2 linked regions of the Callithrix jacchus genome follow. The protein of the gene in region 2 binds, or shares a complex with, the protein of the main gene of each other region. Links are inferred from orthologs where the notes say so. Each region holds a gene or a part of one and is shown on either strand. Other genes may lie near its edges. The genes, in order: FKBP3 and MTOR.

What was found.
Region 1: the proteins of MTOR (region 2) and FKBP3 are in contact, whole or in part, in a crystal structure (PDB 5GPG), measured with the Homo sapiens proteins. The link is inferred for Callithrix jacchus from reciprocal best matches to the Homo sapiens genes MTOR and FKBP3. Residues at the interface, in NP_001373429.1 of Homo sapiens: Glu2032, Tyr2038, Phe2039, Gly2040, Arg2042, Tyr2088, Val2094, Leu2097, Tyr2105, His2106, Arg2109; in NP_002004.1 of Homo sapiens: Lys160, Pro161, Leu162, Ser163, Lys170, Tyr198, Lys201, Gly202, Gln203, Pro204, Asp205, Ala206.

The regions. Positions count from the first base shown.
Region 1 is NC_133509.1:79,685,303-79,701,980, reverse strand, and holds the start of FKBP3 (peptidyl-prolyl cis-trans isomerase FKBP3), read left to right. Parts: upstream 1-2,588; 5' UTR 2,589-2,613; coding exon 2,614-2,721; intron 2,722-6,315; coding exon 6,316-6,417; intron 6,418-7,197; coding exon 7,198-7,305; intron 7,306-12,490; coding exon 12,491-12,626; intron 12,627-13,133; coding exon 13,134-13,201; intron 13,202-15,738; coding exon 15,739-15,836; intron 15,837-16,678. UniProt on the Homo sapiens protein: FK506- and rapamycin-binding proteins (FKBPs) constitute a family of receptors for the two immunosuppressants which inhibit T-cell proliferation by arresting two distinct cytoplasmic signal transmission pathways. PPIases accelerate the folding of proteins.
Region 2 is NC_133508.1:49,103,447-49,119,449, forward strand, and holds part of MTOR (serine/threonine-protein kinase mTOR), read right to left. Parts: intron 12,168-16,003; coding exon 11,981-12,167; intron 10,263-11,980; coding exon 10,134-10,262; intron 9,438-10,133; coding exon 9,193-9,437; intron 7,845-9,192; coding exon 7,629-7,844; intron 7,285-7,628; coding exon 7,079-7,284; intron 3,883-7,078; coding exon 3,760-3,882; intron 3,125-3,759; coding exon 3,035-3,124; intron 2,452-3,034; coding exon 2,359-2,451; intron 1-2,358. UniProt on the Homo sapiens protein: Serine/threonine protein kinase which is a central regulator of cellular metabolism, growth and survival in response to hormones, growth factors, nutrients, energy and stress signals.

The sequences.
Region 1 (16,678 bases), on a different chromosome or scaffold from region 2:
CTGCCTCGGCCTCCCAATCCTTGTACTTTGAAATCGGATATAAGGTAAAAAGCAGAAGTGTGTAGATAGAATAATTTGTCTTATATCTCTATCTGGGATGAGAAAAAAATGCCAAGTCTCTTTTTCACCATGCTAGGAGTGGCAACCCGTTATTTTATTTTTTCTGTTTTTGTTTTGTCTTTTGAGACGTCGTTTCTTTCGCCCTTGTTACACAGGCTGGAATGCAATGGCGCGATCTCAGTTTACCGCAACTGCCTCCCAAGTAGCTGGGATTACAGGCATGTGCCACCACGCCTGGCTAATTTTATGTTTTTAGTAGAGACGGGTTTCACCGTGTTGGTCAGGCTGGTCTCGACCTCCTGAGCTCAGGTGATCGGCCTACCAAAGTGCTAAGATTACAGGCGTGAGCCACCATGCCGGCCTATTTTTATATTTTCATTGTTTAAAGGGAAGTGAACTTGATCTGGTCCAGCTATTCGTCAGAATTTTTTTTTTTTTTTTTTTTTTGAGACGGAGTTTCGCTCTTGTTGCCCAGACTGGAGTGCAATGGCACGATCTCGGCTCACCACAACCTCCGCCTTCTGGGTTCAAGCAATTCTCCTGCCTCAGCCTCCCTAGTAGCTGGGATTACAGGCGCGCACCACCATGCCCAGCTAATTTTTGTATTTTTAATAGAGACAGGGTTTCACCTTGTTGACCAGGATGGTCTCGATTTCTTGACCTTGTGATCCACCCGCCTCGACCTCCCAAAGTGCTGGGATTATAGGCTTGAGCCACCTCGCCCGGCCCAGAATTTAAAAAAAAAAAAAAAGCTTCTTGCAGAGCAGGGGTAACTCATAAGCAGCATGCCCAGAGTAAGCCTAATTTTTTTTTTTTTTTTTTTGAGACGGAGTCTTGCTCTGTTGCCCAGGCTGGAGTGCAGTAAGTAGCACATCTCGGCTCACTGCAACCTCCGCCTTCCAGGTTCGAGCGATTCTCCTGCCTTAGCCTCCTGAGCAGCTGGGATTACAGGTGCGCCCCATCACGCCCAGCTAATTTTTCTATTAGTAGAGACTGGGTTTCACCATGTTGGCCAGGCTGGTCTCGAATTCCTGACCTGGTGATCCTCCCTCCTAGGCCTCTCAAAGTGCTGGGATTACAGGCCCGGCCAGAATTTTTTTTCTTATGTAAGGAGTCCTGATGTTCAACTATTAAATCTTTATTACACATAAGAGCATTATAATAAACGTCGGTGTGCAATTACTCCACTCTAACGAAGATTTCGATCTCAGTCAATTCCTAACTTCTTCTCTCTAAACCTGACAACTTTGAGTAACAGCTGTAAATGTTTCCTTGCGTACTGAAAAAATATATATACATCACAGAGTTACGAGCATTAATAATGTCATTTTCATTAGCAAGTGACATCCTGAGTGCAGCTTCTTTAGAAATTGTTTTGTTCAAGTTTCTGAACTTCGTTTTATACAAACTTTCTCGTGTCTGTATGTGGGGAAGGGGATGAGCAGTTTGTATTTAAGTTTCAGTTGTGTGATCTTTTTTTTTTTTTTTGAGACGGAGTTTCGCTCTTGTTACCCAGGCTGGAGTGCAATGGCGCGATCTCGGCTCACCGCAGCCTCCGCCTCCTCGGTTCAAGCAATTCTCTCGCCTCAGCCTCCTGAGTAGCTGGGATTACAGGCACACGCCACCATGCCAGCTAATTTTTTGTATTTTTAGTAAAGACGGGTTTCACCATGTTGACCAGGATGGTCTCAATTTCTTGACCTCATGATCCACTCGCCACGGCCTCCTAAAGTGCTAGGATTACAGGCGTGAGCCACCGCGCCAGGCAGTTGTGTGATCTTTAAAAGGCCGGGCACGGTGTCTCACGCCTGTAATCCCAGCACTTTGGGATGCTGAGGCGGGCGGATCACGAGGTCAGGAGTTAGAGACCAGCTAGCCAACATAGTGAAACCCCGTCTCTACTAAAAATACAAAAATTAACCAGGTGTGGTGGCGTGTGCCTGTGGTCGCAGCAACTTAGGAGGCTGAGGCAGGAGAATCGCTTGAACCGGGAGGTGGAGGTTGCAGTGAGCCGAGATCACGCCATTGCACTCAAGCCCTGGCAACGGTGCGAAACTCCGTCTCAAAAAAACAAAAGGGGAGGAGAGATGGTGTGTTTCCTGATCGACAAGGACTGAGCCAGTTTAGGTGTGAATTTTTAGAATAGAACTAGATAAAACGAGATGAGGAGCCCATTCAGGGGCTTTCTTTTAACAGGTAATAGACTGAGCTTTAAAGCCATAGTTGCCATAAGCAATAACAGTGAGTAATGGCTGATAAATGTCGCTACCATCATCGGCCGCTTCACAGCGGATATAATTCAGAATTAAGGACCACTAGCGGTCTTCAATTCGGTGAACTGCTGAGACCACTGCGGTAGGTTTTTTAACCCGGACCCAACAAAGAAGCCCACATAGCACAACCTTGACGTCACTCAAAGACAGGTCCCAGTCCCGACTGCTAGAGCAGTGACCCGCCCCTCGACTTCCGTCAGGGGCCACGCCACGCCTCAGGGGGCGGGGCGATGCCGAACTGCGGCGGGCTGGCTCAGTAAAGCAGAGGCGGCGGGGGAAGATGGCGGCGGCTGTTCCACAGCGGGCGTGGACCGTGGAGCAGCTGCGCAGTGAGCAGCTGCCCAAGAAGGACATTATCAAGTTTCTGCAGGACCACGGCTCAGATTCGGTACCGGAGGCGGAGGGGCGGCCGGGCTGGTGCGGCTGAGGGACGCCTCACCCCCCTGGAGATGCCCATACATTCCGTATTCCTCTGTGCCTCCGCCCTCGTCTTCCCGCGGCCGGTGGCCGGGCAGGCCGCAGCGGCCCAGTGTGCGCCTCAGAGCCTAGCTCCCGCCCCTCGGCGTGCCCTACTGGGGCGGCGGAGCAGCTTTATTTCTTGGGGCACACGGGTTGGCAACTGTGGAGTTAGGACCTCATTGGGATCCTTGAGTAGGGGTGGAGGCCAGAAAAAAAGGGACCCGAAGATATTGGGGATTAGGGCGGGGAAGCCGAGGAATAGTGGTGTGGATGAGACTCCTGGGAGCGGGGCGTCGGCTACTAGGGAAAAAGGGATGTGAAGATTTCTATGGGAACGGTTATCCAACTTAACTTTTCTCAACAATTTACTAAATACTTAATATTAATGCGAGTGATTTTTTAAAAATCCGTAGGTTGTGGTTTACGTTTTGGTTTAACATACCGACCCTTTAATGACCTTCTCACCTTTATACTTTCAGGGAGGTACGTGCACATTTCTCTTGTGCAGTGGTCTCCCATTGTTATAAACAGATTAAGAAATTTATTTGAAATTCTTTATACTGTATGCTCTCCATTGTCAGCATAGTCTCCATCTTAACCATATGTCTATAGTGAAGTTATTTTTGTTTTTTTTTTTTCCTTTGGAAATTAAGATCATTCATGTGTCTCTTAAATTGCTGAGATAGTTGTGCACGCCGCATTCTCCTCTGACAAGTGGCAGACTGCTTGTGTTTTCTATACAATTTTAAAAATTCCTAAACTTTAATTTAGAAAAATTGTTTCTGGGTTTTATTTTTGAGCTGGAGTCGAGCTGTTACCCAGGCTGGAGTGCAGTGGAGTGATCTCGGCTCACTGCAACCTCAGCCTCCTGGGTTCAAGCGATTCTCCTTCCTTAGCCTCCCAAGCAGCTGGGACTACAGGTGCGCGCCACCACGCCCAGCTAACTTTTTTGTATTTTTTTTTTTTTTAATAGAGACGGGGTTTCACCATGTTGGCCAGAATGGTCGATCTCTTGACCTCGTGATCCGCAGGCCTCGGCCTCCCGAAGTGCTGGGATTCAGGCTTGAGCCACCACGCCTGGCCTTAAGTTTTTTGTATTTTTAGTAGAGACAGGGTTTCACCATATTGGCCAAGGTGGTCTCGAACTCCTGACCTCGTGATTCACCCGCCTTGGCTTCCCAAAGTGCTGGGATTACAGGCGTGAGCCACCGTGAGGAGATTATATTTTATTTCATTTTGGAAGGGTGTCTTGACAGGGCGATATAAGAACTCTCCAACTTCCAGTTCCTTCTTCCTGAATCATTATCCTGGCAGTTGCATCTTAGATTAATGTAGTAAATATTAATACAACATCTGTAACAAAACCTATTCTCAATGTTTGGAGGTACAAGAGCGAAAAAGAAAGAACATGCATCGGGGAGCTTACCCCATTTTAAGCTATTTTTTCTTAAGCTAATTAATATTTCATCTGAAACAATAGAATAGACATATCATTAACATTTATTAATCCCTTTGTCCTGTACTTCATCATAGTCTTATGAAACAAATCATGCCAATGTGGAATCGAATGTAAAACTGGGCCACTTGGGACAATTTAAACAGACTTGGATTATCAAAAAAAAAATTTTTTTTTTTTTTTGAGACGGAGTTTCGCTCTTGTTACCCAGGCTGGAGTGCAATGGTGCAATCTCGGCTCACCGCAACCTCCGCCTCCAGGGTTCAGGCAATTCTCCTCTCTCAGCCTCCTGAGTAGCTGGGATTACAGGCACGCGCCACCATGCCCAGCTAATTTTTTGTATTTTTAGTAGAGACGGGGTTTCACCATGTTGACCAGGATGGTCTCGATCTCTTGACCTCGTGATCCATCCGCCTAGGCCTCCCAAAATCCTGGGGTTACAGGCTTGAGCCACCGCGCCGGCCCAAAATGTTTTTATAACATAGTAATCTTTTAAACCCACAGCCTTGGCCAGGCGTGGTGGCTCGTTTCTGTAATCCTAGCACTTTGGGAGGCCAAAGGGAGCAGATCACTTGAGGCCAGGCATTCCAGACCAGCCTGGCCAACGTGGCAAAACTTCATTTCTACTAAAAACACAAAAAATTAGCTGGGCATGGTGGTGGGCGCCTCTAATGTCAGCTATTCGGGAGGCTGAGGCAGGAGAATTGTTTGAACCCAAGAGGTGGAGACTCTTACTGTGTGACAGACTCTATGCTAAATGCATCAAATGGATTGTTACATTTTTATTCTTAGAGCAACTGTTTGACATAGATGCTATTATTAATCTTCCATTACAGATATGGCTGAGTCTTGTGGTTTTTTTGTTTTGTTTTGTTTTTCTGGGAGAGGGAGTCACACTCTGTCGCCCAGGCTGGAGTGCAGTGGCACAATCTCCGCTCACTGCAACTTCTGCCTCCCAGGTTCGAGCGATTCTCCTGCCTCAGCCTCCCTAGTAGCTGAGATTACAGGCGCACACTGCCATGTCCATCTGATGTTTTGCATGTTAGTAGAGACAGGGTTTCACCATGTTGGCCAGGCTACTCGCAAACTTCGGAGCTCCGGTGATCCACCCTCCTCAGCCTCAGGGCGAGGCTGAGTCCTTAGACAGGCTTAGTCCCCTTTGTAGTATCAGACAGCTAGGATTTTTTTTTTTTTTTTTTTTTTTGAGACAGAGTCTCACTCTGTCACCCAGGCCGGAGTACAGTGGCGCAATCTTGGCTCACTGCAACCTCTTGCCTCCGAGGTTCAAGCAATTCTCTTGCCTCAGCCTTCCAAGCTAGGACTACAGGCATACGTCACCATGCCCGGCTAATTGTATTTTTAGTAGAGTTGGGGTTTCGTCATATTGGCCAGACAGGTCTCAAACTCCTGACCTCAGGCGATCTACCAGCCTTGGCCTCCCTCCCAAAGTACTGGGATTACAGGTGTGAGCCACCGTACCTGGCCCAAAGAGGTAGGATTTTAACCTAGGTAATATGATTCCACAGCCCATACACCTAGCAATTGTGTGTGTGTGTGTGTGTGTGTGTGTGTGTGTGTAATGTTAGGTATGGTTATCTCAACATATCTGTGTTACCTGCTTGTATAACAGTGAGTCTTCCTAGTCTCCCAAGAATAGGTTACAGATGCCTCAGGATAGCTATGCCCAACCTGGCTGGAGGCTCTCAAAGGCTGCACCCAAGTATCCTCCTGCAGTGAGCAGCTGCCTCAAGTCACCACAGTGTGTTTGCTGTATAAATGTTATTTTTTGTGGCTGCGTGACTGGGAAAAGGTTAAGACGAACCACTCTGTCCAGTACATAACACTGCATTCCAGTCTTGTGAATAATTCTTATAAATATCCAATTTTTAAAAAATCTATCTTACATTTTTTTGTAATGAAATAGAGTATAAACTATAGGTTTTTTTCTTCTTCGATACTAGTACTATTGAAAATACAACTGCTAACATAAAAAGGTCACATTTTCTAATTTTAGACATTTCTTGCTTGAGATAAGTTATCTTGATTACCCAGCTTTTTCCCTTATAGTTTCTTGCAGAACATAAATTATTAGGAAACATTAAAAATGTGGCCAAGACCGCTAACAAGGACCACTTGGTTACAGCCTATAACCATCTTTTTGAAACTAAGGTGAGTATTGTTAGATTCTGTTAACAGAATAACAGAACTTTTGAAATTGTACTTCCTAAAAGATGTTTAGAATGCATTTATTTGCTGAATGTGTTGGAGCTTCTTCACCTGCAGTTTTTTTGAACCATTATCATAAATGGACTAGCTGTCAAATCTAGCAAGGCTAATCAGGAATATGGCAGAATGTTTCGTTATTTTCAAAGGGTTTGGATTTTGTAGCTTAAATTGAGACAACAAATTCTTAAGGCCACTAGTTATATATTCATTAGGGCAGTGGTATTTCCATACTTTAGCATATGGTATATATTAAATTTTTTGTTTTATTATATAAAATGTTATACAGAAAATGTTTCCATTTCACTAATGAATTTAAAGTCTGGTTTAGATTTAAGCTGAGCATTTACAAAAATAAATTTTAAGATATTCTCCCATATTTGTTCACTATGAAATGAGTATCTTCCATAGGAAAAAAATCTTTATTCAGTAGTTATTTGAATAGTATTTATATCTCTGGGTATGAGTTGGCCTTTCTAATGTCATGGTTCTCATTTCAGAATTTATATTGTAAGCTGGTTTGAAAGTAATAATTTATGTTTAAAATAAATTATGAAAAAAAATTTTTCTTTGTTCTTAATTTTCCTTAGACCATTTATTCACAATTGTATTATATAACCTATATTTATTGTGCAGATGTTCATTTAATTGAGAGGCTGAAAATCTTGATGTTATTCCTTGGCTTTAGCCTGTCCTGAATATGATGTTAGAACATTTTCCTTACAGCGTTTTAAGGGTACTGAAAGTATAAGTAAAGTGTCTGAGCAAGTAAAAAATGTGAAGCTTAATGAAGATAAACCCAAAGAAACCAAGTCTGAAGAGACTCTGGATGAGGTCTGTATATACTATTTTCTTATTTTATCATGTGGATTCTAAAAATTGTATTTATTTCTTTATTATTTGCACTAATTTCTCATAGTGAAGGGTGGTTGAGTATGACCACTTTCAATGAGCCAAACAGTTAGTTGGAGTGTGCCATTTCCCTTAGGGACAGAAATAATCCTAAGAACTAGTGCTTTACAGTTATTAGCCTATCCTGTGAAATACTTCTGACATTGTATTTATTATTGCTGCCATAGGTGGCAGACCTTCTGAGCTTTTGAAGCTATTTTAAGACTTGATTCTATAGCCAAGTTGGACTAAGTGGAATAAACTTTCTTTTGATTATTTTTAGCTGTTTCTAATGTACGTGATGTCCCTGGCAATAGAAATAATCCAGGCTTGGCTGCAGGATGTGGGTTCATCTGTCTCAGCTTTCCCAACTCAGGTTTTATATTTTGGTACAAAGGTTTAAAGAAGCAGATTCATTCATTTCTGCAAATTGACAGCCTTAGTAGAGCTAAGATCAGCTGCTAAGAACTAACTTAGCAGAACTGAATAGATTATAATCTTGTCATTTCTGATCATATGTAACTAAGCTCACTCATTGGCTCACTCATTGCTAGCAGTCTTAGTATCAGTGATAATAATCTATTAGTTCTTGTAAAGAGTTGTAGCCTCTTTACAACTCTTGACAATTGATGACAGTGTTGTTTTTGGATATTTGTGGAAAGTATAAGTTCAATTATACAGTTATAGATGCTTATTTTATTAAAGCTAGTTAATTTTGCATGATTTTTTTCCTATTGGCTAAAAAGCACAAATTAAATGATTGTGGGTATATGTGCATATAAAGCAATTTTAAAGTTTATCACAATTGCCAGGCGTGGTGACTCAGGCCTGTAATCCCAGCACTTTGGGAAGTTGAGGTGGGTGGATCATCTGAGGTCAGGAGTTCGAGACCAGCCTGACCAATGTGGAGAAAGCCCTACTAAAAATACAAAATTTGCTGTGCACAGTGGTGCCTGCCTGTGATCCCAGCTCTAGGGAGGCTGAGGCAGGAGAATCGCTTGTAGCCGGAGGTGGAGGTTGCAGTGAGCCAGGCCTGGGCAACAAGAGCAAAACTCTGTCTCTAAAAAAAAAAAAAAAAAAAAATTTAAAAAAGTTTTTAAAAGTTTATCACAATTAATATTTGATAAATATTATATCTAATGACTAGCTACTAAGGTAAATTGAGCAATTATTATTGAAGGGTTTCAGAAGCAACTGGTAACATAGTTTGCCTTCCAGAAAATTAGAATGAGGGTGGTTTTAGGAGACAGTATTTCATTAAGGAGCTAAAAAGTTACAAATAAACTAAATGGCAAGTTCATAAGAGCTAGAGACAATCTAGAGAGATCTTATGAGGGTCCTAAACTATATCATTTTATTTAAAACCTCTTCATTTAACTGGCCAGCTTGAGCCCAATTATGTACTGTGTCTGTTTTCCTAACACCCTAGATTCAAAAGCCTCTTGTCTATTCCCTTACTAACCCTTATTGTCTATTTTGTCTTCATGCTTTGGGACTAGAGAGCAGGCATTATAAACATATAATCATAAAACCTTTTATTGAGCCTGGTATAAACTCATGCTTAATATTAGCCAAGCATGTTTTCTAGTTTCATTGCTACTCAACAACATTTATGCTATCCTTTCCCTATTCTCTATCACATTGCTCATTGCTTACATAAGGTATGTGACATTTTTTCACAAATTTTTACTCACCTTTTTTTTTTTTTTTTTTTTGGAGACAGTTTTGCTCTGTTGCCCAGGCTAGAGTGCAATAGTGCCATCTAGGCTCACTGCAGCCTCCACCCCCTGGGATCAAGTGATTATCCTGCGTCAGCCTCCCTAGTAGCTGGGACTACAGGCATGTGCCAGCACGCCTGGCTGATTTTGGTATTTTTAATAGAGACAGGTTTCTCCATGTTGGCTGAGCTGGTCTTGAACTCTTGACCTCAAGTTACGTGCCCACCTCAGCCTTCCAAAGTACTGGGATTCCAAGCGTGAATCACTGTGCCTGGCTTCCCTTCTCATTATATGTTCCTGTGTTCTCTTTTACCAAAATGTGAACGTCTAGCTATTGCCATTCCCTTCTTCCCAGCTTAAAAGTTCTCTGAATCTTTGTCTCACTTTTCCTTTCTCATGTCTCCTTCAGGACTAACGCTATCAAACATCATCTTTTATTTTAACTGTTCATTTTTTTTTTTCGATTTTCAAGCATTCTAAGCAAGACCTCAGACCTGGAAGGTTAGAAACGTTACATTTTAATTAGTCACCACTGGTCTTCAATATATATATATCCAAATATTTTATTCTTGGCATTCAAAGCCTTCCAAAACGTGGCCACTGCTAAATTCCATATTCCATGTTTCTATAGATGTATTCTTGGCCTGGTGCAGTGGCTAACGCCTATTATCCCAGCACTTTGGGAGACTGAGGCAGGTGGGTTGCCTGAGCCTCTAAGTGAGCCACGAAATATTGAGATATTTTACAGTGATGTGATCACTCCAGCCTCGGCAACAAGACCCTGTCTCTTAAAAAAGGAAAAAAAAAAATGCTGGGTGCGGTGGCTCACGCCTGTAATCCCAGCACTTTGGGAGGCAGAGGCGTGCGGATCAAGAGGTCAGGGATTCAAGACCAACCTGACCAACATGACGAAACCTGGTCTCTACTTAAAAATACAAAAATTCACTGGATGTGTTGGTGTACACCTATAATCCCAGCTACTTCGGAGGCCAAGGCAGGAGAATTGCTTGAACCCGGGAGGCAGAGGTTGTGGTGAGCCAAGAGCATGCCATTGCACTCCCGCCTGGGCAACAGAGCAAGACTCCATCTCAAAAAAATAAAGGGAAAAAAATTATTAAAAATAATTTTTTTTTTTTTTTGAGACCGTTTTACTCTTGTCGCCCAGGCTAGAATGCAGTGGCAAGATTTTGGCTCATTGTAACCTCTGCCTCCAGGGTTCAAGCAATTCTCCTGCTTCAGCCTCCTAAGTAGCTGGGATTACAGGTACCCACCACGACACCCAGTCAATTTTTGTATTTTCTGTAGAGACGGGGTTTCACCATGTTGGCCAGGCTGACCTCGAACTCCTGACCTCAGGTGATCCACCCACCTGGACCTCCCAAAGTGCTGAGATTACGGGTGTGAGCCAGTGCGCCTTGCCGATTGAAATATTTCTATGCTATGTGCACCTGTTCTACTGAGAAGGTCATGGAAGAGACAGGAGTTCATAGGGCAGTAGAATTCTGGAGCTTCAGGGAGTGATAGATTAAGATCCTGCATGGTTTAGGCCTTTGGATATAGAACTATAAGCAGTAATTATTAACATCACTCTAGCAATTGAGTAGACGACTGAAGGTGTCAGAGATAAACACAATTGGACATTAAAGTGGTAAAAACATTTTTTTTTTCAGTCTATTGACAGTAGGGGAAAGAGCTGAACTCCTATCTCATGTATGGAGAGGTAACTGGGTCTTTTGAAACAATGAGGGAATAGGGAGGGATTTAAGTTAGGGAAGTGAAAAATTACAAAAAGCAGGAAGTGGGAGTTGATCCATACGAAACCTATCTGAGTTTGCTAACTGGTGCTTATCAGAGTTAGGCTCCCACAGACTGAGAGACGGGTCCTTTCTTCATCTTCAGGTGTTGCCTGAAACAAAAACAGTAAATTTTTTTGGCAGCCTTAGGTGGGCACTTTAAGGAGGGATCGGGTCCTCCTAGGAATAAGGCCTTGAGCTATTTGAAACTTGTGTGTTTGTTCACATCTTTATAGGCCAAGGTTGAGGCCTTGTGAAGAAGAGGGCTCAGAGGAGCCTAGCTAGAGTTTGGTGAGGGAGAGAATCTTTTGTCAAGAGGTAGACTATTTTGCAAGATCAGACTTTTTTTTGAGATGGATTCTCACTGTTACCAGTGGCACCATCTTGGCTCACTGCAACCTCTGCCTCCTAGATTTAAGTGATTCTCCTGCCTCAGCCTCCCAAGCACCTGAGATTACAGGCGCATGCCACCACACCTGGATAATTTCTGTATTTTTAAGAGAGATGGGATTTTACCATGTTGGCCAGCTTGGTCTCGAACTCCTGACCTCAAGTGATCTGCCTGCCTTGGCCTCCAAAGTGCTGAGATTACAGGCGTAAGCCACTGTACCCAGTATGGATTTTTTTTACTTACAAGTTTTGGAAAAGGATAAAAATCCTAGGTAGGGAAGTGAAAGTGAATAAAAGTTTGCATGACTTGCCCAATTAGAAATAGATCAGAAATAAAGAAAATACTGTTCCTCTTGCTTTTCAAACTCGGGAACTAATAGATTTGAAATATTTGATATCCAACCACACCTTTGTTATTTTATGAAATTTAGAAACCACATACAGATTTGGATAATGCAGATCTCTCTGAATTTGGTCTGAATTCAGAAACCAAATAGATTTAGGTAAAGAGGATACTTTTAAATTCGGTCCATCTCTTTTTTTCTTTAACTTCCTTAGATTCTTGACAGTTAATCTCTCTGCTTTCCTCTCATATATGAATTACTATTGATAAAATTAATCTGTAACTTTTTTTTTTAGAAGACCCTGATAATTTTGCTTTGTTCTAGGAAATATGCCTGTTAGGGCAATTTCATTAGGTAATTTCATCCATTGTGTGAACTTATTTTTCAAATCAGGGACACAGGCAATATCACTGTATTCATTCTAATTGGATATAATAAAAACACCTAGTAATATCAATTATTGCTGCTAAAACAGTTAAAATCTTTGTGGGGGAAAGTTACCATCCCTTATTGTAATGCCTTATGATTTTATAAAAATTAAATAGTAATTAAAAAAAAAACTTTAGGAAATAACTGAAATCATTTTTTGGTTTGCTGAATAATTAACAATCTTGTTAGAAGAATTTTGGCTTCCAAAGAAGCTGGAAGTTTTTTGTAATTAAATTATAGATGTTTAAGTTACATGATATTCATATCACAGCCTTGAAATGAGACACTGAAGTGTTTTGTTTTTTTAAGTCATAGAGGTGGACTAGATGGAAAACAGTTTATTACCAAATCTATCAAACTTTTTAAACTGACTTTGGTCATTGTTGGCTATTGTTTGTCATTCTTCTAAAAGACACAAATTAACAACTGTGTGTATGTTGTTTTTTGTTTTTAGGGTCCACCAAAATATACAAAATCTGTTCTGAAAAAGGGAGATAAAACCAATTTTCCCAAAAAGGGAGATGTTGTTCACTGCTGGTATACAGGAACACTACAAGATGGGACTGTTTTTGATACTAATATTCAAACAAGTAAGTCTAAATGTAATCTTAGTTTTTAGCTTAAAGACATTACAAAATACTTGGGTGGCAGATAGATGAGTAGTTAGCCTTTTTCTTAACTGTCAGCTACTTTTATCAAGATGTACTTTTCCCCAAGAACTACTTGGAAGAGGTCTTCAGTTCACTGATTATTGGCTGGCTAAAGACCTCTTGTTCATTGGAAAGCAAAAAATAAGGAATTTCAGTCTAAACCTGGTTAATGTCCCAAAGTAAGGCTTTAGTATTTGAATAGAAAAGGCAGGATAGTATGCTGTTTTGTGATATAAGCATAGGTCCTAACCCTCTACCCTTTGATAAGAATATAATTATTTTTCAGCTAGAATGTTATTGATGGATGACCTGGCTTTGTAAATTTTTCTTTCTTTCAAAATACATAGTATTGTAATTCTGAAATCAAACCAGTATATTTTTTCCATTGGAACTCCATTTCTTAATAATAGAGTATATCATTAATTATAAGGAAAATCTGTTTTACAGGTGCAAAGAAGAAGAAAAATGCCAAGCCTTTAAGTTTTAAGGTCGGAGTAGGCAAAGTTATCAGAGGAGTAAGTAAAGAATGCCAATGAATCAGTAGATATTCTGGCACATGTTGTTTGTGGTATGATGCCATAAAGAATTAGGCTTGGGGATATAATAAAAAGGAAACAGACCTTGGAGTCTGACAGACTGGGTATAATCACTGCTAGCTGATCTTGTACAAGTTGTCTGGGTCTGTTTTTGCTACCTATAAAGTGAGGACAGTACTGCCTACCTCAAGGTTGTTAGAAGATTAAATGAGTGTAACTTAAGCAACTAATACAGTAGGGGCTTAAATGTTAGTCCCTTCCATGTGTACCCCTTTTATTGTTTTCCTTCATACAGTCAGTCTTTGTCACAGTGTTTGGCCCTCTAAATTTGTCTTTAAGATTCCTATATAATGTTTTATAACTATTGTACCATTTACATATAATTGGGGAAGGTAAAATATGTTCCATTTTAGTACTCATAGAAGCAGAGTTTGTTTCTGAAGCCTGTTCACTTCATACAGCATAGACTGCAATACCAGACAATTGTTCAAACATAAGCATGCTTTAACCTAACTTACATGCTTTTATCTAACTTATAAGTGATAGATAACAGAAGGAAACTCAGAAAAGGGGAAGTTAGGCTTGACCTGTATTGACCATTATAGTGTACAGAAGAAGATAAAAGAGCAGACTGACTGTCACCTTCTATGAATCAGGCTTTCATGCTAGGCCCATTGTTTGCTTTAAATTGTTATTCTCAGAACATCAGACATCAATAATTGAAATGCCTATTTAAATGCAGTTATAAGAACCTTCAATATATTACTCTCTGTACTATCGGTAGGTCCTAAGATATGGTTCAGACAATCATATACAGAATATAAAACATCTTAGCCAGGCACCACGGCTCACAGGGAAGCTGAGGCGGGTGGATCACCTGAAGTCAGGAGTTCAAGACCAGTGTGACCAACAAGATGAAACCTTGTCTCTACTATAAATACAAAAATTAGCCAGGCATGGTGGCAGGCACCTGTAGCCCCAGCTACTCGGGAGCCTGAGACAGGAGAAATGCCTGCCTGAACCTGGTAGGCAGAGGTTGCAATGAGCTGAGATCACGCCACTGTACTCCAGCCTGGGCAAGGGAGCAAGACTCTGTCTCAAAAAAATAAAAACATAATTGTATCTTCCTTTACCAAGTTGATAGCAAGTATATATCTAATTGGGCCATTTTTCTATTTCTGTAACTTACTTGCATATTGGTAAATTTCTTCTAGTCTTCCATATTCTTTTTATTTTGAGATGGAGTTTCGCTCTTGTTGCCCAGGCTGAAGTGCAGTGGCGCGAACTTGGCTCACTGCAATCATCTTCTGGGTTCAAGCGATTTTCCTGCCTCAGCCTTTCCAGTAGCAGGGATTGTAGGCATGCGCCACCTCACCTAATTTTGTATTCCTAGTAGAGACAGGGTTTTACCATGTTGGTCAGGCTGGTCTTGAACTCCTGACCTCAAGTGATCCACCCACATCAGCTTCCCAAAGTGCTGGGATTACAGGCATGAGCCACTATGCCCAGCTAGTCTACCATATACTTAATGTCCAAATGTGACCAGCCTAACTTTGTCCCTTGAGCTTTAAATGATTGTTGCATTTCAACAGTGTAATATTAGGAATATTACCCTTGTGGTCATGTCGCTTTAACTGTTTTTTTGGCAACTAACTTTAAAATCCAAATTTGAAAAATATGGGGAGGCCTACCCAGAAGCCTTTTACTGAATTTCTTTGAAAAGTTAGTTTTACCTTTTGCAAAAGACCCTAGTGCCATAACATTTTAAAAATTGTATTTTATGTAGCAACATGAATCTATTACAATGTGGTAATCTTAAGACAATTTTAGTTGAATACTTGCCAGTATATTCCAGTAAAAATAAACTCTCAAGTTTGCCCTGTAATGTAAAAGTGTAGCAGATTTTTTTATGATGATGCCAATAACAAACTGGTTTTAATAATGTATGGCATGTTAAGGTTTACAAAAAGTTTTTTTTTTTTTTTTTTTTTTTTTGTGAGACAGTCTCACTCTGTTGCCCAGGCTGGAGTGCAGTGGCACAATCCCAGCTCCCTGCAACCTCTGCCACCTGGGTTCAAGTGATTCTCCTGCCTCAGCCTCCCAAGTAGCTGGGATTACAGGCACCCCCCCACACACACACCCTGCTAATTTTTGTAATTTTAGTAGAGATGGGGTTTCACTATGTTAGTTAGGCTGGTCTTGAACTCTTGACCTCAAGTGATCTGCCTGCCTCAGCCTCCCAAAGTGCTGAGATTATAGGTGTGAGCCACCACAGTCGGCCCCAAAAAGTTCTTTTAATATTTAAAAAGCCCTCCTTAAAATACCCTTATTTTTTTCTATTGAAGAAATGGAAGACAAAGATTTAGGGATTCACTGAAGTACATTACCTTAGAATATAGTGAAATCCAGTAATAGATTCTGTGTTTGTTTTAACATATAATCTTGTCTTGACTGCCGTAGTATTGCATGTGCTTTTTGCAAAATACCATTAGTTTTTATTTTGTTCTTGCCTTTAGTGGGATGAAGCTCTCTTGACTATGAGTAAAGGAGAAAAAGCTCGACTGGAGATTGAACCAGAATGGGCTTATGGAAAGAAAGGACAGCCTGATGCCAAGTATCCTTTTTTCCCTTCATAATTAAAGGAAAAAAAAATAATCTCAGGATCACATGAAGATGTGAAAGACGCTGTCTAGGTGAACTTCTAGGTGAAGAATCCTGTCCAGACTATTTAGATGTGTATGTATCAGCACCTCCAACAGACAACAGTATTTTCTATTGGGATAAAGTTCAAACTTCAGCTAGAATCTTTTTTTTTCCCTCTTATTCAAAATCTTAACTTTCAAGACCTTAACTGTGAAGTTTATACTTAAAAGGCAATTACTAATGTTTTGAAGAGTTTAAGAAGTTACAATGCCAGTACAAACTGTAGCAAACTAGGGTGCAAATATGGTTCATAGTTAATTTTATGGTACAGTATAATTTCAGGCAATTAAATTCAAAGCTTAGAAATGGAATAGATGTGGAAGATTACCAATTGTGAACTGAAGGAGATCACAGAATCAACACAGTGTTAGTGTAAGCATTTATTATTACTACTAATGACAATACTCACTGAGAAGTCCAGTTTGAACATTAAAAAAAAAACAAGGAGTGACTCCAGACCATTAAGACCAGACCAATCCAATAGCTAAGAGGGAAGGTGGTTGATGGCTTTTGTTGGTTCCATTCCCCTTGGACCCGGTTTAAGTTTGAAAAAATTCTATTGGCAGCATTCTATCATCTTATCAGATAAACACATTTGGGAATATAATAGCTCCCTTAGCTTTTCAAAATCAAATGGCCAGGATGGGCGAGGTAGCTCACACCTGTAATCCCAGCACTTTGCGAGGGTGGATCACCTGAGGTTAGGAGTTTGAGACCAGTCTGGGCAACATGGTGAAACCCAGTCTCTACTAA
Region 2 (16,003 bases):
CTACAGTAATCAAAACAGCATGGTACTGGTACCAAAACAGAGATCTAGACCAATGGAACAAAACAGAGGCATTGGAGGCAACACAACATATCTACAACCATACAATCTTTGATAAAGATTGACAAAAACAAGCAATGGGGAAAGGATTCCCTGTTTAATAAATGGTGTTGGGAAAACTGGCTAGCCATGTGCAGAAAGCAGAAACTGGACCCCTTCCTGACACCTTACACTAAAATTAACTCCAGATGGATTAAAGACTTAAACATAAGACCTGGCACCATAAAAACCCTAGAAGGAAATCTAGGCAAAACCATCCAGGACATAGGAGTAGGCAAGGACTTCATGACCAAACACCAAAAGCACTGGCAACAAAAGCCAAAATAGACAAATGGGACCTAATCAAACTCCACAGCTTCTGCATGGCAAAAGAAACAGTCACTAGAGTGAATCGGCAACCAACAGAATGGGAAAAAATGTTTGCAGTTTACCCATCTGACAAAGGGCTGATATCCAGAATTTACAAAGAACTCAAACAGATTTACAGGAAAAAAACAAACAAGCCCATTCAAAAATGGGCAAAGGATATGAATAGACACTTTACAAAAGAAGACATATATGAGGCCAACAATCATATGAAAAAATGCTCATCATCACTGGTCATCAGAGACATACAAATCAAAACCACATTGAGATACCATCTCACGCCAGTTAGAATGGCGATCATTAAAAAATCTGGAGACAACAGATGCTGGAGAGGATGTGGAGAAAAAGGAACACTTTTATACTGTTGGTGGGAGTGTAAATTAGTTCAACCATTGTGGAAGACAGTGTGGCGATTCCTCAAGGCCTTAGAAATAGAAATTCCACTTGACCCAGCAATCCCATTACTGGGTATATATCCAAAGGACTATAAATCGTTCTACTATAAGGACACATGCACACAAATGTTCATTGCAGCACTGTTTACAATAGCAAAGACCTGGAATCAACCCAAATGCCCATTGATGATAGACTGGATTGGGAAAATGTGGCACATATACACCATGGAATATTATGCAGCAATCAGAAATGATGAGTTCGTGTTGTTTGTAGGGACATGGATGAATCTGGAGAACATCATTCTCAGCAAACTGACACAAGAACAGAAAATGAAATACCACATATTCTCACTCATAGGCGGGTGATGAAAAATGAGAACACATGGACACAGGGAGGGGAGTACTAAACACTGGGGTCTATTGGGGGGAAAAGGGGAGGGCCAGCGGCGGTGGGGAGGGAGCTCGGGAGGGATAGCCTGGGGAGAAATGCCAAATGTGGGTGAAGGGGAGAAAGGAAGCAAAACACACTGCCATGTGTGTACCTATGCAACTGTCTTGCATGTTCTGCACATGTACCCCAAAACCTAAAATGCAATAAAAAATAAAAAAAAATAAAAAAATAAAGATAAAAAAAAAAAGAAATAAAAATATTGGCTGGGTGCAGTGGCTCAAACCTACAATTCTAGCACTTTGGGAGGCCAAGGAAGGAGGCTTGCTTGAGCCTAGGAGTTTGAAGCTGCAGTGAGCTATGATCACACCACTGCACTCCAGCCTGGGTAACAGAGTGAGACCCTGTCTCAAAAAAAGAAAAAAGAAAAATTAAATAAATAAAAATAAAATATTATTTTTTCTTTCAAAAAAAAGAATGGAATGCAGTGGTGTGATAACAGGTCACTGCAGCCTTAATCTCCTGGGTTCTTCCATCTTAGCCTCCTGAGTAGCCTCTTGAGTAGCTAGGACTATAGGCGCGTGCCACCATGCCCAGCCATTTTTTTTTTTTTTTTTTAGTTGAGACAAAGTCTCATTATGCCCAGGCTGATCTCAAACTCCGGAGCTCAAGCAATCTTCCTGTCTCAGACTCCCAAAATGCTAGGATTACTGGTGTGAGCTACCACACACAGAAAGAAATTAAAACTGCTCTTAATTTTAGTCTAGTCATCTAATAGCCTCAAACTGGGAAAGCAGAACCAGGGCCGGGCAAGGATGAGCTGAAGTTCTATTCCTTCAAAGGCAGTGGCCAAGGCTTTCTTTTTCCCTCTGATAGCTGGGGCTCTGATAAGTGACCTGCATTTTCTTCTGTATAGACAAATGGCACTGGTCAGCCTTGATACTTACTAAAACTGAGTCTGGGTCAAAATAACAGGTAATTCTGGTTCCAAATCATTCTATTTTTTACTCATTCAACAAGTATTTTTGAGCACCTACTATGTGTCCCACTCTGTGCTAGGTACTGACAGAGGACACTGAGGAGAATAAAGAGAAACAAGGTTCCCAGGCTCATGGAGTCTGTCTCACTCAATCAGGAAGCAGTAATACTCACCTGTCTTTTGGCCAACAAAGAAGAATCCTGGAGCATGTCCATGATGATAATAAAAAGTTCATCAACCCATTTTCTCATTTCCAGGCCACTAACCTGCAAGATGAAAAAGAGGGTGGTAGATAGGGTTAGAAACTATGACATTAAGAAGTATTTTGAGCCAGGTGTGGTGGTACACACCTATAATCACAGCTACTCGGGAGGCTGAGACAGGAGAATCGCTTGAACCTGGGAGGCAGTGGTTGCAGTGAGCTGAGATCGTGCCACTGCACTCTAGCCTGGGCAACAGAGTGAGACCTCGTCTCAAAAAAAAAAAAGTATTCTGAGGCTAGGCACAGTGGCTCACACCTGTAATCCCAGCACTTCAGGAGGTTGAGGAGGGTGGATCACCTGAGGTCAGGATTCAAGACAGCCTGGCCAACATTGTCAATCCCCGTCTCTACTAAAAATACAAAAATTAGACAGGTGTGGTGGCACACACCTGAAATCCCAGCTACTTGAGAGGCTGAGGCACAAGAATAGCTTGAACCCAGGAGACAGAGGTTGCAGTGAGCTGATATTGCACCACTGAACTCCAGCCTGGATAGAGTGGAACTGTCTCAAAAAAAAAGAAAAGTATTTTGACTTCCTTAGAGGTGAGTTTCTTTCCACCCTATGGAAAAAGCAGCTGTCCCTTTACCTGTGCCAATTCTCCTATTGTGGCCAGGACATTGTTGATCACACCTGGGTTTGGATCAGGGTCTGGATCTTTCAGTTTCAAAATTAATGCCTAGGGAAAGAAGTTATGAGAAAATGAATGCAGGTTAGACTCCACTAGAAACCTTTCTTTTATATAAGTAAAATTCACCCAGGAGACCATCTCAGTCATAAATAAATTCCTTCTAGGCTTTGTGAATCCAAGATTTCTCTGGAAGATAAATTCTCAAACTTTTCTCCATAGAGCTAGGAAGCACCATGACATTAAAGTATTTCTCACATCTCCTCTAAACTGTATCTCTCAGTGATCGCTCATCCAGATTCACATATGTTAAAAAGGACTTCACATGACTCTAACGTGTTCAGATTTGAAGGTTGTTTCAGATTTTCAAGATCATTTTTTCCTCATTTGGAAGAGCTATTTTATGCTACTCTCCACCTGCTTCTCCCTTCCAAACACCTGTGATGATGTGCCTGAAGCATTATCTCTTACCTCTTATAAGGAGAGCACTTTCCTGTGACTGATGAGGTTCTTGGTATTCTCTATCTGAAAGTGCTTGATATGACCCTTTGGTCTCCAAGCACGGGAGCCAAGAAATCATCTACCTTGTTCAGTGTACTAATGAGCACTGAAACACTCCCATCTCCCCACATGAACTGATATAAGACAATGCAGAAAGAAAGTGCCAGCCTCTCAGTTTATGTTACCTTCAGAATAGGCTCCATGTAGGGGCGGATGAGTCTAGGGGCATTAGAGACCAGGTGCCCCAGCATGCGGGCACTCTGCTCTTTGATTCTTCCAATCCCACTGTGCTCCAGCTCTGTCAAAATCTGTAGGGAAGAAAGGCTCATGTGTTCTCTACCGCAGAAGACATTCTAGAGAGAGACTGTGTCAAACAGAAAACCTGGCAGGGAACTAGGGGGAAAATCCAGACCTCCAGAACAGATGAAATAGCTGCTAGATACTCAATGAGCAACAGACATCTCTACAGCTATCAGAACAGCCTCAGATACAGCTGCAACAGGAAGAAAAACTACTTGAAAACCTTCCCCCTTTCCTTTTATCACAGCACTCCAAGGTCCCACAGTCCTCTCTAAAGCACAGCTTTTAACAGTGTAGCACAGCCAGAGAAGACTACGAAACCCAACAGAGAGAGCTGGGAGTAGGGTAGGGTCCTATAAAAATGAGGAATGAAGGGAGGGCCCCTTGGGACAAAAAATATTTGTCCAGACAGCAAATTACTAAGGACTACAAATAATAGCAAAGGAATCAAAGAAAAGCTAGAACAGCTATGATGCTGAGAGAAGTGTTGATACTCTATAGCTGTTTAGGGCATATCTAGATAAACTTCAATAGGTAGGGATCACATCAGTAGGATCCCCTGAAGCCTTACTGACTGGATCCTTACAACACCAGCAAATCAGCACATTATGCTCACGGTGACAGAGACAGCATAATATGGACTATCCAGATTTCTGGATAGCTAAAGTTGCCAGAAGGAAGTCGCTGAGCAGTGAGAAAAGCAGATGTCACAGAGTTCAGGTTAACTCAGCTACCCAGAGGAGTCTACAATTTAACATTACATTTTGTCTCAGCTTACTGAATTAATTACCTGATTTGCTGGATTCCCTAGGCAGCCTGTTTCCCCAGTCATAGCAGACCACAGGGAAAAGAAAGGGGATACTGAGAACAGACCTGCAGCAGCAAAAAGACATGGGTGACTGCGAAGAAATGTGCCTCAGGGAGCAGAGCCCAACTAGCTGCAGCAGTGTGGGGCCAACCCAAAGAACCCCAGGTTCACTTCCAGAGCCCGAGAGCCTCACTGCATCCTAATAACATAACCAATGTCCACCCTGATGACTAAGACCTCAAGGAAAGGTCAAAGCTGGCTCACGCCTGTAATCTAAACACTTTGGGAGGCTGAGATGGGCAGATTGCTCGAGCCCAAGAAGCAGAGGCTGCAGTGAGACAAGATCCCACATTGCACTCCAACCTTGGCAACAGAGTGAGGGATCCTGTCTCAAAACAAAACGCCAAAGCCTTTACTAAGGCATGAAAATGTACAACTCAATTTAGAAAAATCTATATCAAAGTTTAAAAAGAAAAAAGAGTAAAGTTTCAAGGGCTAAATTCAGTACATAGTAAATTCATTCAAAGGAGTTTCATACTCTTTGATATTGAAAAAAATGAGATGGCCTGATAGCTTCATGTCAGCTTCAAGAAGATTGGAGCCATGCATGGCTTGTTCACTGCTATATTCCCAGTGCCCACAAGTACCTGGAACATATATGTGCTCAAACATTAGGAGGTATTTCTTTTTTTTTCTTTCTTTCCTTTTTGAGATAGGGTCTCACTCTGTCACTCAGGCTGGAGTGCAGTGACACGATCATGGCTCATTGTATCCACAACTTACCAGACTCAAGTAATCCTCCCACCTCAGCCACCAAGTAGCTAGGACTACAGGTATGCACCACTATACCCAGCCTGGTGTATATTTGTATATTTCGCAGAGACGCAGTTCATCATCTTCCCCAGGCTGGTCTCATCACTCTTGGGCTCATTTGATCCATCTGCCTTGGCCTCCCAATGTGCTGGGATAACAGACATGAGACACTGCACTCAGCCTTTTAGGAGATATTTCTATGCCAAATTCATTTAGCATGACTTGAGCTAGCAGGCTCAAGAGTGATTTCTGTTTTTTTGAGACAGAGTCTCACTCTGTCGCCCAGGCTGGAGTATAATGGCACAACCTTGGCCCACTGCAACCCCCACCTCCTGCATTCAAGCAATTCTGCCTGCACCAGCCTCCTGAGTAGCTGGGATTACAGACACCTGCCATCATGCCTGGCTAATTTTTTTTCTTTTTAGTAGAGATGAGGTTTTACCATGTTGGCCAGGCTGGTCTCAAACTCCTGACCTCAGGTGATCTGGCTGCCTTGGCCTCCCAAAGGCTGGGATTACTGGCGTGAACCACCACGCCTGGCCTTTAACGATGATTTCTATTCCTTCCTAAGACTGAGGAATTTTTTAAAGACTTAAAATGACAGGCACTTCTAACACAGGCCAACAGTTAAATAAATCTTTAGGCTAAAAATAGAGGTGCCAACATAAGTGCAACTTTCTAATTTGATTGATGATATAATTTATAGCCACTTTATGACAAATTGTGAACAACATTTCTCTAGAGTGAGTTACATATATTAATGATTTTCTATGTTTAAGTTCCATATATGTTATAAAAAGTGTTTACTTAGAAAGAAACCATAAGGGAGGGTCAGGAAGCAGACAGCGAGCAACAGGGACTGGAAATGAGTGGGTGAGCCACACAGAGAACCAGAAGAGGAAGGTGGAAATAACTTCGCCAGGCAGGACTGGACCATGTACTGCTCACCTGGAGGCCACAAAACTTACTCAGGTAGGTGAAGACAAAAATTCAGGAGCCATGTCTCAAGAGGAATTAAAAATCCCACTGGATCTAGTAGCAAGGCCAACCTAAATCTATCTTAGGCTATAGACCAAGCAGCTGAGCTTGGCATTCTCACATTATTTAAGAACAAAAGCCAGGATCACAGAATGAGGCAATGACTATTAGAACACATAGTGGAAATGGTCTCACACTGGTTATTCTTCTGCAGAACAATGGCCGCCATGCTTGACCTGGCACCAACAAGGAAAGCAGAAGAGTGGAAGGACAGGGAGGCACTGGGAAGTCTGACACCATCTGCAGCAGATCAAGCCAGCAAGCAAAGAGGGCCAAGAAATGGGATCACTGGTGACTGAGTTGCCAGGAAGAATAAAGAGCTGCATGAGGGGACTCATACTAACAAAAGGCTCATGAGGTGATGAGCACTGGAATTGCCACTATAAAGCCAGGGAAACATGTGAACCCTTGCAGACAAAGGTGACTTTTCCCAGGTACCTCAATCTTTCTCCCCCATCCTTGTCCTCAACTCTGCTTCCTCAAGCAGCTCTCACAGTGAGAATCCTGTGCTCCCTGCCTGTGGGTCTGACCATCATCCCGGTTACCTGGATGAGCATCTTGCGCAGGAAAGGCATGACAAAGGCGGGGTTCATGCTACTGAGTCGGCCCACAGTGCAGATGGCCAGCTCCCGGATCTCAAACACCTGGTCATTCAGAGCCACAAACAAGGCCTGCAAGTTCTCCGCCTGGGCCAGGTGTGCATCAAAGCGCTCATCCAGGGACGCCAAGACACAATAGCGAATGTCAGGGTCTGCAAGAGCAATGGAGCCTTTGAACATTTCTTCATGACCCCATCACTCCAGCCCTTCTCTACCTCCACTGCTATCAGCATAGTGGGAAGATTCCAGATGCTTTCTCTCATCTATCCTCTGTCATTCTTTTCTCTACTCATAGGAGTAAAGACAAATGAATTAAAGACATTATCTTACACCAACAGGCTGGAGTAGCCACGCCTAACACCGTGGCAGAGAAATAGCTGAATATCAACTTGTTGAGACCGAAGATCTCTGGAGAGGCCATGTGATGAAACTGGCTACTTCCAGCTGCCCTAAGCTCCTAAACTCCCCTAGATGGCTTCTGTCTCAGAAGCCTTACCAGGATCTGTTATCCCAACCACGAGCAGTTTGCTGAGCACATCTGCCACCACTTGCACTGCAGTCTGGCTAACCACATGAGCATGGCCACTGATGAGGTGGATGGAGGGTGTGAGCAGGCGGGAGCAGGTACGGGCAGCCTCCATGCGGATCTCCTTGTGCTCACTGTTCAGGAAATGATCTGCACAGTGGCGAACGAATTGGGTCAGAGAGTGACCTGGATAGAAAGGCAGAGAGAAAACAGAATAAACACTGCTGCTGTGGACAGGCAGGTCTGCAGTTTGCTAGGTGAATTTTCCATTTTGAGGCTACTAGTTCTACTTTCAACCAGATACTGATCAATGATACTGACCCAGAATTCTTAAAGGATAACAAGTGGACTTTCAATCAGCAAAAGGCAAAAGGGGGTGGTGAGGGAACAGGGAGAGATAAAAAGTATCTCTCAACCCTAGCCTTTTTATATTCCCTTCAAAGAATAAATTATTTCATTTTATTCCAACTCAACCCCTACCATTCTCAGAGGGTAATGCAATTCTTGTCAAATTTACCTTGCCTGTTTTGGTTCCCAGATCTAAATACCAGACAAAGAGTCTACGTAAGCTGGGTTTAAGCATAGCTACTTTCTATTCACTAGAAATAAATTATCACAAGTGTGAATCAGTGTAAGCGGAGGAACTGCAATAGAGAAACCACAGGTGGCTGTCTCCAGACAGTATCTTCAGGCTTTCTGTGCGTGTTTCCCCAGTCTTGACCAATACTACCTACATGATCTTAAATTTCAAAAGTATGAACTTTTCTCTTGAAATATACCTCTGTGGGGTATTAGTGGGTTTATTTGCAGTTTAGAACTACACAATAAAGTACTTTTAGAAATCATATCGCTAGCTGAGCACAGTGGCTCACAGCTGTAATCCCAGCACTTTGGGGAGCCGAGGCAGGCAGATCACTTGAGGTCAGAAGTTCGAAACCAGCCTGGCCAACATGGTGAGACCCCATCTCTACCAAAAATCCAAAAATTAGCCGGGTGTGGTGATACGTGCCTGTAGTCCCAGCTACTTGGGAGGCTGAGGCAGGAGAATCACTTAAACCCGGGAGGCGGAGGTTGCAGTGAGCTGAAATCGTGCCACTGCATACAAGCCTGGGTGACAGAAAGAGACTTTGTTTCAAAAAAAAAAAAAAAAAGGAAGAAAAAAGAAATCATACTGCTATAGACATGGAAACACCCAAAAGCCCTTGTTATACATTCTAAATCATTACATACCATCTCAGCTACAAGGAAGTAGAAAAGTGAGGATGTGAGGGGGATCTGTCTCTGAAGCATTATTTCTTTGGATCAATGTGTACTTTCCCTCAAACCAACTGCCCCAAAACTCAGAATGGGACAAGAAACAAACAATAGGAATTACCAATACATGGAAAGAGTCTAGGAAGGATGAGCTGCTACAGAATCAGTTACCCTGTCTCTAGGACCCCGGCAAGATCCAGGAATCCTAGATACCTTCATTCCTTTCCCAAAGTTTCCAGCATCTCTCACTATGTTGACAAGAGCCACTGTAATTTCTTACCTTCAAATTCAAAGCTGCCAAGTGTTCGGAGGGCAAGAGTGATGCTGCCCACATCACTGGCCTCAGGGAGAGTCGTGAGCCCAGGGGAGGCCAGCTGATGGGCCAGGCCCTTGGGCATGCCTGGGTGGCGGAGGGGTTTGTGCATAAGGACCAGGGACAGCATTTTCAGTAGCCCGTCTTGAATGTCCTTCTTTAGCTGTGGAATCTGACGGCTCAGGTCATAGAGTACAGCAGTGAGGGCAGGGCTAAAGGGAAGGAAACCAGTCACATAAGGGTTGAGCACATGACACTCAGTCTGTTCTTGGGAAGAAACAGCCTTTCTCTCCCAGCAAGGGGATCAGGCCTCTGTTCTTTAGAGTAGAAAGGATACTATGAAATGAGAATAAATGTGTAAACTCTCTTTGCTTAGTCTCAGGTCTCTAAACAATCTATGAGTTTCTGGTTCTTGCCACAGGAAGACTTGCTCATTATAATTCAGCCACTACAGAATACCAAGACTCAACAAACACTCTGGCAAGCAGATCAAGAACACTGTCCTTATTCTACAGATGAAAAGAACTATAGTTTAGGGAGCTTAAGCAACTTGCCTAATAATAATATAAACAATATTTGTAAATATTTATTGAACATTTCCTATACGCCAGGCATGGTCCTAAGAATGACTGTATCATGAATCCACAGCAACCTTAGACAACAGGAATTACTACTGTACCCACTTTTCAGATAAAAAAAAATGAGGCTCGGGGATATTAAATAACTTAGTCAAGATCACATAGCTAGCTAGTGATGAAACTAGGATTCAGTACTAGCCTATGTGTTTTGTCTAAGCAAAACACATTTTGAATGTGCAAACAACCATGCCTCCCTCTTTTAACCCAGTCCCAACACTGCGGACCAAACCTCACACTGATACAGGGCAAGCTCAGGTTTCTGACACCCACCTTAGTCCCACTGCCAGCATGGGCTCCAGCAGTTCCTTGATATCCTGCTGGATGCCTGGCCCCATTGCTCGAGCCAGCATGCTGATGCAAGTAAAGACTGTGGCATCCACTTGCATTGCCTTCTGCCTCCTGCAGAGAAACAGACAGTGACTAGTTGAAACATAATGACATTTTTTAACGTCCCACCTCAAAATCACTTTGGGGCAAGGAGACCAGGTTACTCAGGCAGGACTACCATACACAGGTGTGCAGGCTGTCCACAGCACAGTTCAAAAGGGCCCATCACATCACAATTACTGTAGATTTGTATATTTCCACAACAATCCAGCAGATGGCAGTAAAGTGTCTTAAGGAAGATGCCCTTTTTCTGAATTCACACAGCAATACCATATGAGTTAGTGTGGTGCTCACCAAGATACTTATGTAGGAAGCAAGCTGAACAATGTGTTCATGAGGGGCAAGAGGGCAGCACACAGCCATCATACAGAAAGAAATTATTCTATGATGAGAATGCTGGGCTTTGGAATGGGGCCAGGCACGGTGGCTCACACCTGTAATCCTAGAACTTTGGGAGGCTGAGGTGGGTGGGTCACCAGAGGTCAGGAGTTCAAGACCAGCCTGGCCAATATAGTGAAACCCCGTCTCTACTAAAAATACAAAAATTAGGCTGGGCACGATGGCTCATGCCTGTAATCCCAGCATTTTGGGAGGCCAAGGCGGGAAGATCACAAGGTCAAGAGATTGAGACCATCCTAGCCAATATGGTGAAACTCCGTCTCTATCAAAAAATATAAAAATTAGGGTGTGCGCCTGTGGTCCCAGGAGGGACCAGGTAGGCTGAGGCAGGAAAACTGCTTGAACCCGGGAGGTGGAGGTTGCAGTGAGCCAAGAGCGCATCACTGCACTCCAGCCTGGAGCCTGGTAACAGAGGGAGACTCTGTCTCAAAAAAAAAAAAAAAAAAAAAAAAGATTAGCTTGGCGTGGTAATGCACACCTGTAGTCCCAGGGAGGCTGGGACTGCATGGATCACTTGAGGCTAGGAGTTTGAGACCAGCCTGGCCAATATGGGGAACCCCTTTCTTTACAAAAACATACAAAAATTAGCTGGGCATGGTGGTGCATGCCTGTAATCCCAGCTACTTGGGAGGCTGAGGTGGGTGGATCATTTGGATCCAGGAGGAGGTTGCAGTGAGCCAAGATCACACCACTGTACTCCAGCCTGGGTGACAGAGCAAGACTCCATCTCAAAAAAAAAAAAAGAATGAGTGGCACATATTAATTCACTACAGCAATCCTTGCTAATAAACAGGGAAGTATAAAGACACAATCCTGAGACAAAAGATGATGAACACTGACCCCCTCGCCTTAGCGAAGACACCCTGGCCTCTCCATCTGGCAGGAAGCTGAGGGCTTTTCTCATATTATATTTGCCAGAAGGTTTAAAGGGGTAGAATAACTTACTCAACTTCAGCAATGGGGAAAAAGATGACCCTTAGGTCCCTTCAGTTCCAGTCAAGTATTCCTCTCTTTAGGTCTTATATCAAAATATGACTTTTAAAAGCCAGAGAAAAAAAGCAAAACTAGTAGATTCCCAGTAAATAGTAACACTGAAAATAGCATTGGCATCTACCATGTTCTCATGGTTTTCAACCTCCCCAAATATTTATATATGTTATTTCATTTGAAAGAGCTTAGAATTCAACCTGGAAAGGGCTATTCTTCATACGATTTGCGATACCCTGGAGTTTAATGATGCATAAAATGGGGTTAAGCTCTGTGGATCTGGAATGGAGCATCCTTCCTCTCCAACCAAATGGAGTGGAAGGTGAAATAACAGAGGTGCTTACTTATGGGCGAAGTCCTTAGGGGGCAGGGCTGCTCGGATGATGTCCAGCACACGAGGCAAATAGACCTTAAACTCAGACCTCACAGCCACAGAAAGTAGCCCCAGGGCTTGGAAGGCTGCTGTACGTTCCTTTTCTTTCTTGACACAGCTTAGGACGTGGTTCATGGTATCTTGGAGATACTGGGTATCTGAGCACAGAAAAGACAAAGTAGATAATTCAAGGTCAGGGTTAAGGGCCACACATTAACAGTCAAGGTCCTATGTAGCAATTCAGTTGATGAATAAATTAAGAAAGTGGCCAGGCACAGTGGCTCATGCTTGTGATCCCAGCACTTTGGGAGGCCAAAGTAGGAGGATTGTTTGAGGCTAGGAGTTCAAAAGCAGCCTGGGCAACATAGCAAGATCCTGTCTCTACAAAAAATAAAAATTATTATACTTTTTTTTACTTTCTTCAACATGGAAAGCAGAACATAAAAAGTATTTGTTAACATCTCTTTCTTGAATTAATTGAAAAAAAGAAAAATAAATAAAAAATAAAAAATTAGCCAGGTGTGGTTGTGCATGCCTGTAATCCCAGCTACTCAGGAGGCTGAGTCATGAGGATCACTTGAGACCAGATAGTTGAGGCTGCAGTTAGCTGTGATTATGTGCAAAGCTTGGGTGACAAAGCAAGACCCTGTCTCAAAAAAAAGGGTCGGGTACAGTAGCTCATGTCTATAATCCCACCCCTTTGGGAGGCCGAGGCGGGCAGATCACGAGGTCAAGAGATCGAGATCATCCTGGCCAACATGGTGAAACCCCATCTCTACTAAAAATACAAAAAGTAGCCAGGCATATTGGTGGATCCCCGTAGTCCCAGCTACTTGGGAGGCTGAGGCAGAAGAATTGCTTGAACCTGGGAGGCGGAGGTTGCAATGAGCCGTGATCATGCCACTGCACTCCAACCTGGCAACAAAGCAGACTCAGTCTCAAAAAAAAACCCAAAAAAACAAAAAACATAATAAAAGGTCATCAAAACAGTATCATGTAACTATCTCCATTAGTGTTACACTTTGACACAAGAATTACACACTCTTGCTTAAGGAATATATGTCAAACCTTGTTTAACAACAAAGGATCACCTAAACAATTTTACATTATGCAGTGTCTTACGCATGTAATGCCAGCACATTGGGAGGCTGAGGAGGATCACTTGAGCCCAAGAGTTTGAGGCTGCAGTGAGCCAAAAGCCAGGCACTCCAGCCTGGACGACAGAATAAGACTATCTCCAACAAATAAAAAAAAACAAACAGTCCAGTCATATGCCACTTAACCGTGTTTGGGTCAATGGTGGACCACATATATGATGGTGGTCCCACAAGATTATGACACAGTATATTTTTGCATATCTTTTGTCTAGATACATTTAGAAACACATTTATCTATCATTGTTTTACAGTTGCCCCGAGTATTCATTATAGTAACATGCTGTACAAGTTGCAGCTCAGGAGCAATAGGCTATACCACAGAGCTAGGTGTAGAGTAGGCTATACCATCTGGGTTTATGTAAATACATTCTATGGTGTTCACACAAGGACAAATTCTCCTAAGGACAAATTTCTCAAAATGCATTCCCATCACTAAGCAATATATGACTATAACACTGAGCAGTGTTAGCGATAAACAGGCCATTTCATTTAGCTTAGGCCTGGAAATCATTTTGCTATTACCTAGAGATTTTTGTGACAGTTATATTTAAGAGAACAAGATTTAGTCTGCAATTCGGAAAGCCACATGTATATTTTCATTAAGTTTACATAAGCCAGTGTGCATAGGGAGGCGATTCTCATGCAATTTAAGCTAATGTGTTATTTCTCCTCTGAAGGCTGGAATTTCCTGATTCTTGCTTCTCTTCTATTTCTTCTCCTCCATTGCTGTTGGTCCCAAGTCCAGGCAGCAGGAGCATACATAAAATAGGAGAGAAGGCAAAACTACACATCCCTTAGGAAGTCAGGGATGTTGAAAGCTACCAGAACCACATGTAGACAATAAATTAGACTCCTAAAGCAGCACATATCATCACTGCATCTACTCGGAGAAATGTCTTCTCCCATAGCTCTTGTGGCCAAATGACAATGAGGCATGCTGGGGCTTGAAGACAGGTGACCAAGGTGATACAACCCTAAAATTAGAGTGGATCAACAAGAAAAACCAGGGGGATAGCATTTCAGCAGGAAATGAGCTAAAATCAAGAGTGTAATTTCTTTCCCAGGTGCCGTGGCTCAAGTCTGTAATCCCAAGCACTTTGGGAGGCTGAGGTGGGAGAATTGCTTGAGCCCAGGAGTTCAAGACCAGCCTGGGCAACATAATAGAATCCCATCTCTACAAAAAATACATTTTAAAAATCGGCCAGGTGTGGAGACTCATGCTTGTGTTCCTAGCTACTTGGGAGGCTGAGGTGAGAGGAACATTTGAGCTCAGTAGGTCACGGCTGCAGTGAGCTGTGATCACATCACTGCACTTCAGCATGGAAGACATAGCGAGACCTTGCCTCAAAAAAAAACCCAAGAGAGTATAATTTTCTTTTCTAGATTTAGCATCCTGAGAGATTAGAAATCTGACTAGAGATTCCAGTCCACTCCTGGAGTATTTTTTATATTCCTAAAGCTTACGCCATTGATAAGTTTAAGAATTAACTTCCAAACTGCAAGCTCTAAGCAAAGAATATACTTGTAGGGGTGTCCAGGCTGAATGTCACTGACCTATTTTAGTGTGTTTAATAAAACAACCTTGACTAGCCTTAAAAAACAGAGCAAAAACAACACACAGAGATCCAGGGCCCTCTGAGCCTTTGCATTCTGCTGCTAGGCAGCCTTCTGAACTTCCAAGGGTCACTGCTTCTATAGTGCCAGACTTTGATAAAATTTGTCCTAGTTATTAGTTCCTTTTGAACCACAGACTTTCAATCCAAGATCATTTAAAGCTCTACAGAACAGCAGCCTCTCTGGTCATTAAAAAAGAGAAAAGCTGCTGGGTGCCAGGCCAGAAGAATAGAAACACACAAAACATGGGTGGTTTTTGTTCTGTTATTTCTCTCTGGCTCAGTGGTTTTACGTGGCTAATTGTCATGTCCTCACCCAACATGTTCTACTGCTTTCACACAGCATGTTTAACACCTCACCAGCTACATTTCTCCCATGGTGTGTCTGGGCTGGGTGGCGTGAAGTGTCTGTGTGCTAGGGAACAGGGTCTGCTAAGGGCCAGGCCGGCCTTCTGCTTATGTCCCTGGCTCTCACGCCGTCCCGAATGTGTCACTAAGCATGGGCAACGTGCAGCATGGTCAAGTGGGAAGAGATGTTCAAGACTGGGCATCTACTCTCAGCAAGTAGGGAGGTAAGACAAGGACATTAAGTACGAACAGGCAACTGGAACATTATGATTTTTACCTCTACCTTATTTCCAGAACAGATTTGAAGTAGCTTGAGGAGAGGTCGTGATAATATATAATGGTTTCCATTTATTAGGGCTAACTCTGTGCCAGGTACTATATTTGGTGCTTAGGCATTAATGCTGCTCATCTTGGGAAGCAGAAATGGTTATTCTGATTCTGCAAGTCAGGAAGTTGAGGCCCAGGTAGGTCAAATAATCTGTCCCAAACCTCACAGTTAAGGGTGGAGGTGGGGTTCATCCCAGGTCTAATGGCAAACCTTTCCACAGCTGAGGGCTATGATGGGTGAAGGAAAGGACATTTATAGCTGGAGCAATCCAGGAAGGCTTCATTGAGAAGTTGGAATCTGAGCTGGGCCACCAGCTTCAGGAGCCAGGGATTCATGCTGCCTGCAAGTAGTGAGGCAGCTCAGTGACCACCTCAGGGATAGAAGCAGGACGATCCCCAAACCCTTCCTGACTCACAGAGCTTTGACACAGATACTGCACAACAGCTACATCAAAATTGCCCTTCCTCTGGTCTCTTTTAAGTCTATTTGTGAACTTTTTGGCCTTAGAAGTGCCTCTCTGCCTACCCGTTCTGATTGTTCCTGTGTCT